Neodiprion lecontei: one gene and its partner. The protein of the gene in region 2 purifies or fractionates together with the protein of the main gene of each other region. This does not show direct contact. Links are inferred from orthologs where the notes say so. Each region holds a gene or a part of one and is shown on either strand. Other genes may lie near its edges. The genes, in order: tRNA (adenine(58)-N(1))-methyltransferase catalytic subunit TRMT61A and tRNA (adenine(58)-N(1))-methyltransferase non-catalytic subunit TRM6.

What was found.
Region 1: the proteins of tRNA (adenine(58)-N(1))-methyltransferase non-catalytic subunit TRM6 (region 2) and tRNA (adenine(58)-N(1))-methyltransferase catalytic subunit TRMT61A purify together in Homo sapiens (affinity purification with mass spectrometry; 4 studies listed by BioGRID and IntAct, counting the BioPlex papers as one, with this or other methods). This does not show direct contact. The link is inferred for Neodiprion lecontei from reciprocal best matches to the Homo sapiens genes TRMT6 and TRMT61A.

What each region holds. Positions count from the first base shown.
Region 1 is NC_060264.1:31,855,236-31,862,578, reverse strand, and holds tRNA (adenine(58)-N(1))-methyltransferase catalytic subunit TRMT61A, read right to left. Parts: upstream 3,489-7,343; 5' UTR 3,184-3,488; intron 3,086-3,183; 5' UTR 3,044-3,085; coding exon 2,689-3,043; intron 2,594-2,688; coding exon 2,321-2,593; intron 2,225-2,320; coding exon 2,055-2,224; intron 1,810-2,054; coding exon 1,660-1,809; 3' UTR 1,621-1,659; downstream 1-1,620. Other genes in the region: tubulin gamma-2 chain, read left to right, coding at 43-174, 284-466, 596-796; sensory neuron membrane protein 1, read left to right, coding at 6,577-6,681. UniProt on the Homo sapiens protein: Catalytic subunit of tRNA (adenine-N(1)-)-methyltransferase, which catalyzes the formation of N(1)-methyladenine at position 58 (m1A58) in initiator methionyl-tRNA.
Region 2 is NC_060262.1:31,291,043-31,299,130, forward strand, and holds tRNA (adenine(58)-N(1))-methyltransferase non-catalytic subunit TRM6, read right to left. Parts: upstream 4,392-8,088; 5' UTR 4,011-4,391; intron 3,941-4,010; 5' UTR 3,908-3,940; coding exon 2,510-3,907; 3' UTR 2,145-2,509; downstream 1-2,144. Other genes in the region: uncharacterized protein LOC107225851, read right to left, coding at 413-691, 945-1,280; uncharacterized protein LOC107225853, read right to left, coding at 5,839-5,915, 7,949-8,088. UniProt on the Homo sapiens protein: Substrate-binding subunit of tRNA (adenine-N(1)-)-methyltransferase, which catalyzes the formation of N(1)-methyladenine at position 58 (m1A58) in initiator methionyl-tRNA.

The DNA of each region.
Region 1 (7,343 bases), on a different chromosome or scaffold from region 2:
TGGTATACCAGTGAAGCAGTAACGTTATTTTTCCTGAAACAGGGAGCCTCAGTTCGAAAAACCTCGGTTTTGGACGTGATGCGACGATTATTGCAGCCCAAAAACATGATGGTATCCACAGCTCTGGATCGGAATGCGGCGCACTGTTATATTTCCATATTAAATATCATCCAGGTCAGGAGATGATAATAAATTTCTGAAATACGTAACTTAATGAATCTACTTTGTTTTTTTGGCATTCTGCTCATCTCTTCTGATCCATCAATTCGATCATTTTTCACAGGGAGAAGTAGACCCTACACAAGTTCACAAATCTCTCCAAAGAATTAGAGAGAGAAAACTTGCGCAATTTATACCCTGGGGACCAGCTAGCATCCAAGTCGCGCTCTCAAGGAAGTCTCCATACATTCAGAGCACCCATAGAGTCTCTGGACTCATGTTGGCAAACCATACTAACATATCGTCGGTACGTATAGCATTCTCCTCTCGTATCCATTTTTCTTTTCTGTATATCGAAAATCTTCGTCTCTTCGGTTTAGGAAACGCACGACTTTCAGGGAGACCTAAAATATAGAAGTAATTTTTTTACTTATAGCTTTTTGATCGCGCACTTCAACAGTACGATAAGCTACGCAAACGAGAAGCTTTTTTGGAACAATTTCGTAAGGAAAAAATGTTCGAAGATAATTTGGACGAGCTCGATCATTCGCGACAAGTGGTTGAGGACCTTGTAAAGGAATACCAGGCTGCTACGAGGCCGGATTACCTCACGTGGAGCCCCGTGAAAAGCGAATAAATTTAAGACTATCATATTGCCTAAAAGACACCAAAACTATGCTGTCATCTCACAAAACGTGCTGACTGCGAAACGCATGCTTAAAGCCTCGGTGGAGCTGCTTTGACGGACAAAGTTTTAATTCGCACATTTAAACATCGCTGTGATTTTGACGAAGCTCTTGAAATGATTGAGGTATTAACTTCAGAAGAAACTGTGTATACATTTTTCAATTCTACCGCGAAGTTGATGTTTTCAATTTTAGTTGATGAATTGTATGCCATAAATAGCGAAATACTCCGCGGCACGCCATATTTACCATTACGCCGTGTAGATACATCTATTTTTTATTAAACTTTTAATAATATTCACAGTAGCGCAACTCAGCGTCTGCTGATTTTCTCGGTCCCAATCTAACAGAGAAACGTTTACATTGTTCGTTGAAAAGAATTTGTGTTATCTGCTTATGCGAGTTCAGCTCTAATGGGGCTTTCAATGCTTTGCACTTGACAAATAAATCAAAAGCTTTTTAATCATGTATGTTGTATTGTAAAGTGAATCCTAACAATTTTGCAAAATCGTTTCAACATTGAATATTGTTTGAAATGACGAATTTTCAGTGTACAAAATTTCACCCTTGAGTACAATATAGGGTCAAAAAATATAGAGTACATGAAGAAAAAATACTAAAACGACGTATCGTTGGTAATAAAATTTTACTCTTGCATACATGTGTATAAAACTGCTATGAATGTAGTTGTTAGCTGTTGAACAGTGAATATCTAACTGATGAAATCTTTGGAGTGGAATAGAAAGTAGGTATTGAAAAATTTGAAAAAATATGGTTGGTGTTATTATCAAAGGAAATATTTATTGTCGGTTAACTAACAACTCCTTCTTCCGATTGGCGGCAGCGTAGCAATCGTAATGTATCCAGTGTGCCCTGGCAGCGAGTGCGCGTGCGAAACAGTTACTAATCTTTCCAGTCCTCCCACCTCTTTGCCATTATTTTCGTTTCTGTTATCATCGGTATGCTGCAGCAAAAGAAACGAGTAATTGGTATATGTTATACATTGATATTTTTACGCTACTCAACATGGCAGAAAAATTTTAACGTCAAAAAGAATTCTCAATCAATTTACGATTTTATACTGCTTCAATCAATTTTCTACTTTTTACATTGACATCTAATTTACCATTTGAAATAAAATTGATTACTAATAATCAATTGAATTGATTAATTTTTTTGAGACTTGTTTTTTGTACATGATCTGCATACCTTGCTTTTTAAACATTCTAGTTTCAATACTGGTACAGTTTTGTATTGTACAGTCAATTCCCGTTGCAGACACTCGATTGTTTTTATTTCTATAAATCCAGCAGACATGAGTTTTTCACATGTTCTTTGAACCTGTTCTATGCATGGCGAAAAGGAACAGAGTCTACCACCTGAAAAAGGAAAGGTGTTTTAAATTTTTACGTGTCTTAATAAACATTTTTCAGTAAAATTTTTACCTAGGTAACACAAGCAAAGTTAAAACTTACCTGATTTCCGAAAACATCTCGTTGCATGTTCAATGGTTAACCATGGATGTGGTAAGTCAAGAAATATAGCATTGGCTTTGCCTTCTAATGCATCTCCGAATCCTGTCTGACAAACGTCTCTCTGTTCGACAGTAACGTAGCGTTCTAATCCATGCTTTTTAAACTCGATGTCAGCCACAGATACTCGTTGTTCGTGAAAATCAAAGGTGTACAAATGACCGTGAGGTTTTATTGCATTGATCAAAGCATGCGACAAGGAACCACTTCCCGTTCCTGTTTAACAAAGTTTGGGGTATGAAAATTTGTTGGAATGTAGTAAAAATCATGAAGATATTCATATTAATGTGTGGTACACTGAATTTCCGAACCTGTTTCTATCACAGTGTCTCCAGGTTCGAGTTCCATCAGGTAAACTATGTTACTAATGTCTGGTGTATAAATTATTTGAGTCCTATGCGGCAGAGTCAATGTCCAGAGGTCTGAAGTAGGCTGTAAGACGTAGGCCCACCCCCTTGATAGGTCCACCTTGGCACCGTATTTAGCGCCAACCAAGGAGGCAACTTTGAGAGCTCCGTAAACAGTTTGAAATACATTTTCAACCAAAATGCCTTTCTTATTCAATGTCTTCGGAGTCACTTCCAAGGAATGCATGTTGGATGGCGCAATATACAAGATCACTACGTCACCCTCCTCGACGAGATCCTTAGACCCGTTGAAACTCATCGTGGGATTGCTTCGCTGAGGTATTTGAGCGCCTGTAGATGCCTGCAATAGCAACGAGGATTAGAGAGGAATAGAATTGGTCCTCTAGTGTGTATTATTATGAACATTGACTATTTGTCAACGGATTTCTGTTGCCTTACCCTTTTTATCTGCCATACACCCAGGAATGCAAATTCTCAAAATCACGTGTATCTTGGAAGTATTCTGATAGCAAAATTGTGTGCTGGTTACGTGCCGCTTTTGAGGTTATGTTGATGAAGTCACCGCGTTGAAGAGACTTGGGCTATCCGCGGTGATGAAGAATTTTCGAAATGACTCCTGATGATGTCTATTGACAGTTTAGGTATCGAAACTATATTGATCAAGAGTGAGTTAAGCTACGATTACAACGTTGTGGCGATCTTTATTATCGACTGGACATGATCCTGGCCTGTGCCCAATTCGTTCTTACCGGCGGCGTTGTGTACTTCTTCGGTAAGTCTTGATCATCAGTTAAGCGCCTTTGATGAAGATAATGTCAAAGTTTTGAAAACATTTTTTTAATTGCTTTAATAATAAAATATTGTATAAACTGTATGAAGTTCACTTGTAAGTGAATCAAACTTCAAACTCATCATGTTAGCGCTAGACAAGCTATATCTGCATCAAAATATATGTAATATTTCCCAAGTTTTCATAACTTCAAAAAGGGTTTTCTAAGTCGAGCGAAACTTTTACAGTGATTTTTACCCATTTGATGTTTTTTATGTTTAATTGTGATAAATTGAGCTGGATTGTTTCATTTTTTCATATATGTACTTAAGAATCTCATAGGAATGGATAAAGATGAAATTGTATATGACTGATTGGAGAAAAATCAAATTGCGTCAGAATTGAATCAAAAGAAAACCATAATTACAGATTTGAAACAATAAGACCATTAATTCGGATTGCCTCTTGCCTCATGCTATTTGTTTTCTTGTGAAATTTAGATTCCTGAACATTATTTCAAGATGTTTCAATCTATGTTCCTTCACTGAGTAAAACACCGTTTCGACCATCAACGCCCCGATTTGAATATAAAATGCCAAATTGTGTTTACTACCCCATAATTTGGTAGAAATTCAAAAAAATGTCAAACTTCCACCATCTCGTACATACGTGAAGATGAACTTGAAGATACATCGAATATCTTTAACAGCGTAAAATATGAAATAAAAATTCACAAGATGATAACATTGGTTTTTGGAAAAAAAAAAAAACTGACAAGGAATCATCAATTCTGAAAGGCAAATGGAACTAGCTCTATATAAAATTGACATCAATTTTCTTCGACCGTGAAGAATAAACAGTTTTCCCAAGTTCAACAGAAGCTATAGTTTAAAACTAAGGTGCCATGAAATGGATTTGCTGGAACGTCTCACGTGAATTTTTAATGCGACACCTTCAGCGTTGCAAGGGTGCAGCAAGATTAGTCCAAGGCCGATGTAGAGGCCTGGGTAATTTCACACCTTAGAGTAAGATTACGTGGCTAGGAATATTCCTGAACCCCGATATTTACACTTGCAATTATTAACTCAGCAGTATATATCATTAATTTAATTCTCGAACCACTTACGTGTTAATACCGGGTTAATAATTTTTTCTATTCTTTAAAAATACAATAGTTTATTTGTTCCAAGTCGTTGATTGTGAATAATCGAACCAAGTCGTGTCATGTCATATAGCCACCGTTGATCTTCACTTATAGTGGAAAGTATGCCACAACTGATTACGACCACAGAACTATAAGATCGAACTATGAAGTATTTAAGCTCGTTCATATAAAAATTTTAATGCAAACTAGAAGTTCATGATTTAAAATCTATGAGATCGATCAGTTAATTTGATAGCTGGAAAAGTTGAAGTCATTCTGAAGGTGTCTATAGTTCAGAGCGTTTGTACAATTTCCGCCATTGAAGTCCCTGAAGTGGAAAATTTTTATTCATTTGAAGATCTTGCACAACCCCTTTTGTCTTTTCATTTCCCCTCTCCCCTCGAAATCGGTTCTGCTACAAAGTATAGTCTTCACAAAGTAGTTTTTCCTAGAATATCGGAACCTTCTCAGAAAGAATCAGTAAATTTCCTAACATCTGTGTCATATTTTGTAAATCGTAGGAAATAATTTATTTATAACATCTGCAAAGTATTTATTGCATATCTTCAGAAAAATTCAGGACATCTTCTGTACGGAACGGAGGAGTATAAGATAGAGCATTTACTTCCATTACTCCGAGAACTTGGTGTTCACCCAGGTCGAAGCTCACATACTTATTCTTAGATAGAAAACGTACGATCCGATATGCGAATCACTACCGCCAATTGCACATAATCGTCTTGGCTATAAGGTATCCGGTTCATCCATATTTCATAAACTTTTCTGCAGCACTATCGTTCGATATCAGCCGCATTTAACACCCAAGATACGTCCGCGGATCCATAAGATATGATCTCGTGTCTTGAAGACGGTCTTGCATTGCTATCGAGACTCGTTAATATCAGTATTCACGAAGCATGAGATCAGTCAGTTTTTTCATTCAGAGATGCGTAGTTCGGTTCGTAACAAGAAGTCACGGAATTAAATCAGTCTTCCGAGGTGGCGATAGACAGACATTTTGCGATTCTGGTCAACTGTACGTTGCGGAAGTTCGACTGGAATTTTGCAAATTTACCCCATAAAGAAGCCATCCAGAATTAAAATATTACAAGACTCCATGTGCGTGTGACTGGAATATTTTTGCAGGTCGTATTTTATTTAGGATTAATCGTTCAATATCATGGCTGAACCAAATCATAAATAATAAATAAATGGCTATAACAAAGTATATCGTCCGACGCCGTAACGAAAACATTGCAAACTTTGTTGACTATTCTGCCGAAGCGCCTGCGCGATGCAACAAATTTACTTTTCCGTTTGACAAAGAGGAATGAGAAGTGTGAAACACTTACTTGACGCCCGTCGTTACTGACAGTTCTTCACCATTTATCCTCAAGCGTCCATCAAAGGCGCTCTGCGTCGTCCGAGATCTGTAGCGAGATTAGTTTGGTTCTTTCTTAGGTAATTTCAATTTGGCTTATCCACTATTTCCTATTTGCAGTGATTTACTGCATTCTTTAAATTTCTTTGGTGAAATTTTATGCAATAAAATATTTATACATGAGGCGGGTTTAATAATTGTTGTAGGTTTTTCTTTTTGTTCTTCGAATTTTACCGTCACGACTTATTTCTTTTAGAATTTCCAAACAGCTTAAGACAATTTTATTTTCCTTTGCCGCAGGAATATCTCACAGCAAATTGGATATGAAAAAAACGTTCTAAATTTCTATTTCTCATATTTTTCAAATTACCATTATTGTGTGGTAACTGAAAAATAAATGAGACAGCTTTACGCGGGATAAGAATTATTCCCAAGTCCAACCCAAGCTCCGGTTTTGTTCGAATTTTCTTTTTTCTTGATCATCATTTTCTTGCATACAAAGTTGTTGTTTGCATTTATAGTGAAATCAACAGTAAGATGCGGTTACCAATCAAGTTGGGCATTGGCGCAGGTGTCATGATTTTTGTGTCTGTATTGACGTGGGTGAGCTTTCCACCATTCATTAGGTCTCAGTTACGTAAGGTGAGTACAAATGTAATTATTTTTTAACGTTAACGTTAACCAGTCTTTCAGTGAAATTTTACCTTTTTTTTAAATCTCTCATTTTTCGCTATGTGGTTATTAAATTTTTACGTTAAATAAAGTTTTCCTCACCTGTAATCGAAATTATCTATCACTTGAAGAACGATCCGCTAAATATAGCCTAGTCATGTTACTTTTGATATTACTGCATTGTTAAGTATATATGATGCAACTCGTGTCATGATATTAAAATGTAATTGCCAATCTCCACATGACACTTATAACTACTTAATCAATGGTTTGGTAATAGTATAAATCTTGTCGCTGCGGTATAATAATACTGGATTATATGTATGAATCAATGTATGTACGTGATTCGCAAAATGACTGTCCTGTGGGAAGAAACCTGTTATTGGACAAGGTCAGAAAAATACATTAGTCACGAAACTGCGAGACAATTAAACTCTGGCCGGTGGATTCTCGACGGGAAATATGCAATCAGGTTTACAAATTTAACCGCACTTTATACATCGTATATACTAGACTGTATAAAAACAATCGATTGTTCTGTTTTTTTTTTTTTAACATTCACTAAACACTCACGTCAAAAACATTGTTCCAAATAACGAGAAAAGAATGGTGTCAAAGTTTGAGTTCTTAAT
Region 2 (8,088 bases):
AAGTTATCGTCAATATCAATTAGGCAGTGAAGATTCATTTTTTCAATGTACGTCCAAGTTGTGGATAGCAAATTATGATTTGGATTTGAAACAGCATGATAACTTTCGACGGTGTTTTGAACAATAAAGCCGTAATTTGACTTTTTTTAAAAATTTAGTTGTAAATTCACCAGTCGTAATCAGATTGATCATTAATTAGCTCTGACGTGCTATCTATAAAACATGTAAATCACACAAGCTCGCATTATCAAAAAATGTTAAGGCATCAATTATCTTACAATAAAAGTAGCAGCATTCAGCAATATATCTTGCTGGGAATGAAATATTTTTATCCTTTGAAGGATTAATAAACGTGAAAAAATGTGCTAATTAGTAATCAGTATCTGTGCGATAGATGTATTGATTTCAGAATTTATCTGAACGTAGTAAAGCCATTAGCTTTGGTTAGTTGAAAGGGTTTGCGCAATTTTTGTTCAACGTTGGTAAGTTTATGCATGGCACTGGAATCCTCATTCTCTTTTCCAGGTGAATTACTCCAAGCAGACCTTGGCGACTCTATGCCAAATGGACTGTAGAGTTTTGTTGGTGTCCTGCCCAACAGATGACGAGACCGAGTTTGAGGTGTCGCAGAGATTGTGGGGGAGTGGCATTCCTCTAAACGTTGCCTCCTGCGTGTTGAACTTCTAAATTTCTTGATAGAGAAAAAGGAGCATGTTATTGTTTGTTCCACAAAAATCACAATCCAATGCACAGTGATACAGACAGATATAAAGACAAATGCTTGAATAGATTTTTAATTCAATGGCTATAGCAATCGTTTGAATTTCATGCAGGTGGTATTTTACTATCATGAAGTAAAAAGTAAAAGGTGTTGAAAGGCAGTTATTAAAAAAGGGACGACAAGTTACAAAGAATTCAGATATATTATAGTACCACGCACAAACCTGAGAAATTGTTCCAAAAGTCATTCGAACCGAAGAGATGGTCTTGGATAATTTTTCAGCTCCATTTCTGAAGGCTCGTCTTGAGTCGGCCGAAACGTTACTCAAGCTTAAATTACTCCATCCTTTTTCGGGAGTTAAGGAACCAGCCCTACTTTTGGAAGTACGTTTTTTTGAAGGTGACTCTTTGTTGGCCAAATTGTACGGGCATTCTTGGTCAAAACGATCCTGCAGTCTTCGACGTAAATTTCTTGACTCTTTCGGCTCGTCTGAGGTGTTGTTTGCGGTTAAAGCCGAGCGGTGAAATGTGAACGAGATACTCCTCGAATCTGGCCTCATTATCACTGCTTATATCGTGGCTTCTAATGCCCAAATAATACCGCTTATCAAACTGTCAATAATTCACTAGCCTCTTCTCTCAGTTCACTTTTTCCTGATTGCTTGTCGCTTGAGCTTTGGCGAAAGCACGATACGGTAGAGAGCATGGATACCAACGTGATTGAACGCGACTGAACGCCAACGGCTGCCAAGCGGGAATTAACGATTTTTTGGGCAAGGCTGCGTGAATATGTTGTACTTAGATATTGAAGCACTCGTAATGCACTCACGCAACACTCGTTTCAAAACTGTTTAAAACATGATTCAAGTCAAGCACAGCATGATAACATGGATATTGGATTGGAATTTCGGACCAGTTCGTATTTGGATTAAGGAAATATTTGAATTCAAATTTCGGCATTAATTTCACTTCCCAACAGCATTATAGGTATATCGTTGTACGATGTAAAATGCACTTTCCAATCTGGGTCCAAATATGTATATACGACAGATATACGATAGGTATCTACAGTCAACGCTGTAGGTCGATTAGGGTTGCAGCAGATTCTGATATTACCAACTGAAAGTACAATCATACGATGCGTTGATAAATACTCATTAGGTACAAAATGGAATAAATTGGAGGTATGGTCTCAGGCAAGCCCTGCATCTCTAACGAAACGTATCGATATTTAATTAACAATATCGTTACCTGCAATTTACGCAAGGATCAAATATATAGTTTTACATATAGATTGACAAAATTTATTTTTCTCGCAGATTGATTATTGAATGCTCTGAAATTTTTACCAAGTCAACAATACAACGGATTTCATTTGTAAGATGCAGTTGGCCTAATAACGTATATCTTCATCCGAATTGATATAATTTGCATATTTATACTTTTATAAGAAATGTTCATCTTGATTGTATGTCATTTAATATAATGAATGGAATTCTTATTAAATTACATGAAGCTAGCACTGGAAATTTCTCCAAAAACTATTTTCAAATAAGATTTGCACAAATTATTGGTACTGTAATATACTCAAAAATAACTTTTGTTATACTTGGACCTTGTATCAAATCACTGATTTTATTTGCAGTTTGTTATTTCGTGAGAAAGTTTTTCTCTACAACTTTGTCAGCCGTATGCTATATGGTTTAAAATAGCCTGAAATTTTCACTAAAAGTGCTACAACTGTGTTGTGTTTTGATCACTGTGTATTGTGGAAGTTTATGTGTTAAGCTTAGTCAACTAAATATCCATACAATAAATATCCACCTGTGTCACTCATTAAAATGTCAGGATGTGTCCTATCTGGCAATACTTGATGAGACCGTAAGAAGTTGGCGAATAACCTTAAATTAATAACATCTGATCTTTGCTTCAAAGCAACGTAAGTTTCCTGTAATGGTTCTCGAGATGAATGATAAATAACAAATGGCCTAGAGATTCCTAAAAATGGCAGAAGACCTTTGATTATATTAAGTGGATGTTCTTTAGCTATGATAGCTAGACCGTCAGCTTTAGTTACTTTCATAATCTCAACAGCCTCTTGTGTTTCTATAAGCCATTTAGGTTTTTTAGGTGGTTCGTGACTTGGTGCATCTTTAAGCTTGCGTTTCAACCCTTTGCTTTCGAATGAGTTCACAGCTCTGTTGCTTGAATTATCTTCTGTAATCCCCTCTGCCTTTACTTCAGCTTCAGCCTTGGGCACTTTAGGATTTGCCACATCTTCTGTGAAGTCAGTGTCATTGGATTCCAATACAATGCATTCTACGTTCAGGGTATCAGATTTTGCTTTGTACTTTGATACTTCTAGAAATTGTTCAGTCCCCTGGTAATACATACGTATTAGACTATAAATGTTGACAGTAAGCATTCTACGCAGCTGCTCCTCGGGAAAGTTCATTGCTTGAATCAATGTTCTTTGGGGAATATTTCCTGGATGCATGTGAATTAGTTTACCATTTGTTCCGGCGCCAATGCGATGAAGCATAGCTGAAGCGGGCAACCCTTGAGAACCACTGTCATAGACCATATAGAGCCCATCAGCATTAACACCAGAATAAGAAAGGAGCTGAGCTAGTGTATCCATCCTCAGACTGCTGATCTTCTGATGATCCATTCGAAAATAAATGTCTTGAATTAGCCGTATTGTAGGTTTTCTAATCGTGATGTACTCAAAATATTTCTTTTCTTTTTTTTTCAAATACTTGGCTTGTGAATATTCAGTTTTATTCTGAAACGTTTTGCTATTCTCTATCAGTTTGCCAACTATTTCTTTACTCGACTTCCCTGCTTCCCTTAATCCCACAATATCTTCGGTTGATAACTGTTGCGACGTTCCGTCGTCAATGATGCTTCTGTTGTCTAGCCCACTGGGTAACACACTCTTCAAGTCTTTCGATAGCGATTCAACTTCTTTAGTCTCCAGCAAAGTGTATAATCTCTTCCCAGTCACCTTTGCTTCCATTTTATACGTTGTCCACATTGGTCTACCAATTATACTACTCATCTCCAGCTGGTCTTTACCCAGTAGTAAATTTCCATTCGCCGTCACCTTATGGAGCTTGTAGTAATTCTGTCTTTGTACGACAACATAGTCTCCAACTTTAACAACTTCTGCATCAAGCTCGTTCATTGTGGTGGCACTTTGGGTACACCAAATTCCAAGCTGTAATGTGAAGTTTGTTTATATTTTCTATCGTCCGTGGTAATCAGATATCCACGTGAGAAATGATTACCTTAACCTCCAAATGCGAGGCCAACGAGACGTCAACTGTTGGTGTAGCGTAACCTCAGATCGACCACAGAGTACAGACTACTACCAACTACTACTGACAAGATCGACTTCAATGGCCAATCCATGGGCTAATCGAAGCTCGGGTCGACGCTGCCAATGTTATTAACCCAACGATTTCAAGACTGCAGTCCTGTAGATTTGAAGGCGGGTATATTTAAACATCTACATTGATAATTAGTTAAAATTTTATTTGCGGACGTATTTGTAGAACGTTTGCGGTAGGATAGCTTCATTGGGATATTATAACAAATACTCGGATTTCACTTTTTTAAACCTGATCACGTTTAACTGTTACCCTCAATCAGTGGAAACGGTTTACGTAAAGCGTGAATTGCATTGAATTTGTGTCAAGCTCCTGGAGATAGATGGGCAACTTTTCATATGTGAAAATAATTGCCTACTTCTAGGAGCAAGCTTTATTTTAGTTCCAAATGATCAATAGCCGGGGATCATCTCTCTCTCTATACTCACTTCATTTCCTTCTTCCTCAGCGTCTACTTTTGAAAAAGGAACCCTATTGCATTTGGATTGGTTTCGATTAAAAATCTAGTTTAAAAAAATTCCTACGACATTTTAGACGTATATATTCAACACTGAATTTAATAAATAATCGATACGATTTGTATTTTCTACCAAAACCATTTAGACCTGATGAATGTTTTTTATTAGGTTGTAATTTTTAAATTTCTGCAAAAGCGAATTTCAGTAATGAATTGAGTATTCGAATAAATAAATTAAAAGTCACAATAATTAATCAATACAGCATTTTATCAGACTGTAGTCACAATACTCACAATTACCATATAATGATCATACATAGTGCTTCAGACAGTCTCCAACGAAGTTCCCAGAGAACTTATTTCGATGAACTACTAGAACGCTCCGAAATTTTTGAGCAAGAAAAGTTTCATGCGAGCTTTGAGGAAGCTACACTTTTAGCAGCTTTGAGGAAGCTCTCACGGCGCAACTTTTGAGCTCCTTTGTAACTCAGCATGCATAGCTCGCAGGAAGCTCTTACGGAGTTCCTGTGAAAATGCCGTCAGTTATTGATAAATTTCACATACTTGTAATATATTTTTCATCGTTCATTAAGAATGTTTCATGTGAAATCCACTGCCCCCTCCCACCTTTATTTTTTTATCTGACTATAACTCTTTTTCACGTTAATACTACAAATTGACACAAACGTAACATCGATATTTATTTTCGATTGTATGTGAATATTTTATTATACAAACTCTGCACGTGACACACAGCGTACACTCGGTGCAGCGTGACATATTTCTAGTTTATGTATTTAATATCATATATGTAGTATTTTACATTGTTTATTGCATATACATGTAATTAACATTAACATATCATGCAACAAAAATAAATTGACATTTCAAAACGGATTTACTTCTAGTCCTGTTTTTGGTCTGCGAAAATATACGGGTATACGAGTGTTGGGCGATTTTGATGACGAATGCCAGTATAACTAGGGAATGTTCGTATCCATTTTGTTTGAAAAAAAACCCCGTCGTCTTAATCTGAGGAAGAAATTTGTTCGCTTTTGACGGTCTAATGGCGCGTAGGTGTATGTTACATTATTTAAATCAATGCCACTACACGGCTCTTCCGGCAGTGCTACACATCTACACGAATAACATACACACGATAATGTTTCAACAAAAGGGTTTTTAATTATTTTCAAAGTTTTACAAACAATTTACTTCTTCATTCCCAGTACACTTAAACGCGTAAAATCAACTGAACGTTCTTTGGTGTTATCTCAGGCTGTATAACAGTAGGTTCGTTACTGCCACCATGAAAATCCACTGCTCAACTCTTCGTCCGGCCTTTCCTGAAATCAAGTTATACTTTTTCATTCGACATACTTATGATTCAAATCACAATCTATTGATCGGAGTTTACGGATTCAGCATTATAACGGTTGTTTAGTACCCGTTAAGAGTTATTACATGAACTAAGCAGTGTACATTAAAAACTCGTTAAATCCACCGTAACCGGTTTTAAGTAAAATGTAAAAAACTAATAACTTCTTTTCAAATTGACACACAGCTGTGATAAAGGTGCCTAAGGAAAAAAATTAATAAAGTAGAAGTGTTATAATCATGAAAGCCTGAATTAACTTTGTATGAAAAAATAGATTGAATTATATACTTCTGAACAATTTGATCTAATAAGTTCTGCGACTAATCATGTCACTGCAGGAAATAAAAGATATACGGTAAAGATCTAGTCTCCGTTTGAAATCGGATTAAATCCAATTGTCATCAAAATATTATTGGTTGAAAACTACCATTCGTTTACCTGAATATCATTACATTTGTATTAGGATGATTAGGATTTGTATGAGGCGCTTCCAAACGTTTACCGAAAAATATCAAGAAAGTTTAAAAATAATTACTTTGCACTGGAACTGGAATCATAGAAGAATAAAAAGAAATAAAATATACGGCAATATATAAATGCCACTACATACCAAAATAAATGTTGTGGACTGGGTAATTGGAAGAAATACATTAGATGATTAAAAAAACGAGTTAATTACCGGATGCTGACATAGGAGTGTATAGGACGTAATCTTATTCATCAGTACAAGCCTCAACTAATCGCAACCAACGAATTTTAACGCCGAACTGAATTTGTATCCGCGTAAGGTATGCAAGAAAAAGTTATTCACCATTTCTGAGTAAACGGAAGGTTACACATCTCACAGCTTATTTATTTTACTAATTAATAACATGAGATGAAGTTATAATTAGTACTATACCGAGTCCGAAGTTTTTAATACCTGTAAAACCGTACGTATGTATAATATACATGTAGATTATTTAATTGAACAAGCTGTATACTGGCTTGCCTTGTTACCAAGAACATTAAATGATCCGATATTATTTGGAGTCACCGGCAGGGTATTAAATTTCTTTATACGTAACTGCAAATTCAATGCTGTACCGTGAAAGATGTATTTATATACATACAATTCTCATGGTATTGGTTAAGTATCTGGAAATATTGTTTCTCGGTTTTAACACATGTAAATTCACGGACAATAAGAATTATTATACAGCTATTTCGGTGGCAGAAAACGGGAAAAGAATGAAGAGAATTGAGAGAGACTTATTTCGTAACTGGCTCAATTGGGCTTCTTGGAATATCCTGCAATTGACGAGAGTCAGAATTTCATTCTTTTTAGCCACTTTTTCTTTTATCGGGTCAATTCTGGCATTTCCTCACGTGATGACTTCACCGGGTTATGGACCATACAGATTTAATATTCACGGTAGTCATGGTGGACTATTACTGTATAAACTAGTACAAGAAATCCTGATTTGCGGTGTTTTTTTTTTTTATTCAATTATATGCGGCTACCGTACACGTTGATATCTGATTCCTTTGAATTTTACGAGAGAACTTTTCATTAAAAATCTTTAGAAACGTGTTTTTAATACAGCTGAAAAGTGTACATAAAGTTTTTCAGATATTACAGCCTGTGGAATGCATTAATCTCCGGTATAACGGTGCCGCAGAACGGCTTCACAATGCTCAGAAAATGGTAGAGAATTTCGTTATCAATGTACGATCATTTTATAAGAGCTCGCTAAGTTTGGCATCCTTTAGTTCAAAAGTGATTAATTATTCAACGCAATCAAAACCCGGTAAGCGAAAACTAAGTAGACGTTAAAGGTTGAAAAATTACGTATTAAAAAAGTCATTTGCATTTATTTTCGTTACAAATTGAACTCTAACGTATTACTTACTGAATAGCTTGGCTGTGAATGGAAATTGATTTTATTCACATTTATTTTTCTTTATTTTCTCATCCGTTTTCTTTCTACCTTCTGAAAATAATCAGGAATATAACATTACCGGTGTAGGATGATTCGCGAGTTCCGAGAACAGATGCTAATCTTGGGCGCTCCTCTTCTACGAATATTTCGGATTGAGCTGTATACAAATCAAACACGTTGACTCGACACGTGATGTGGAGTCTCCCGTGGTTGAAACTA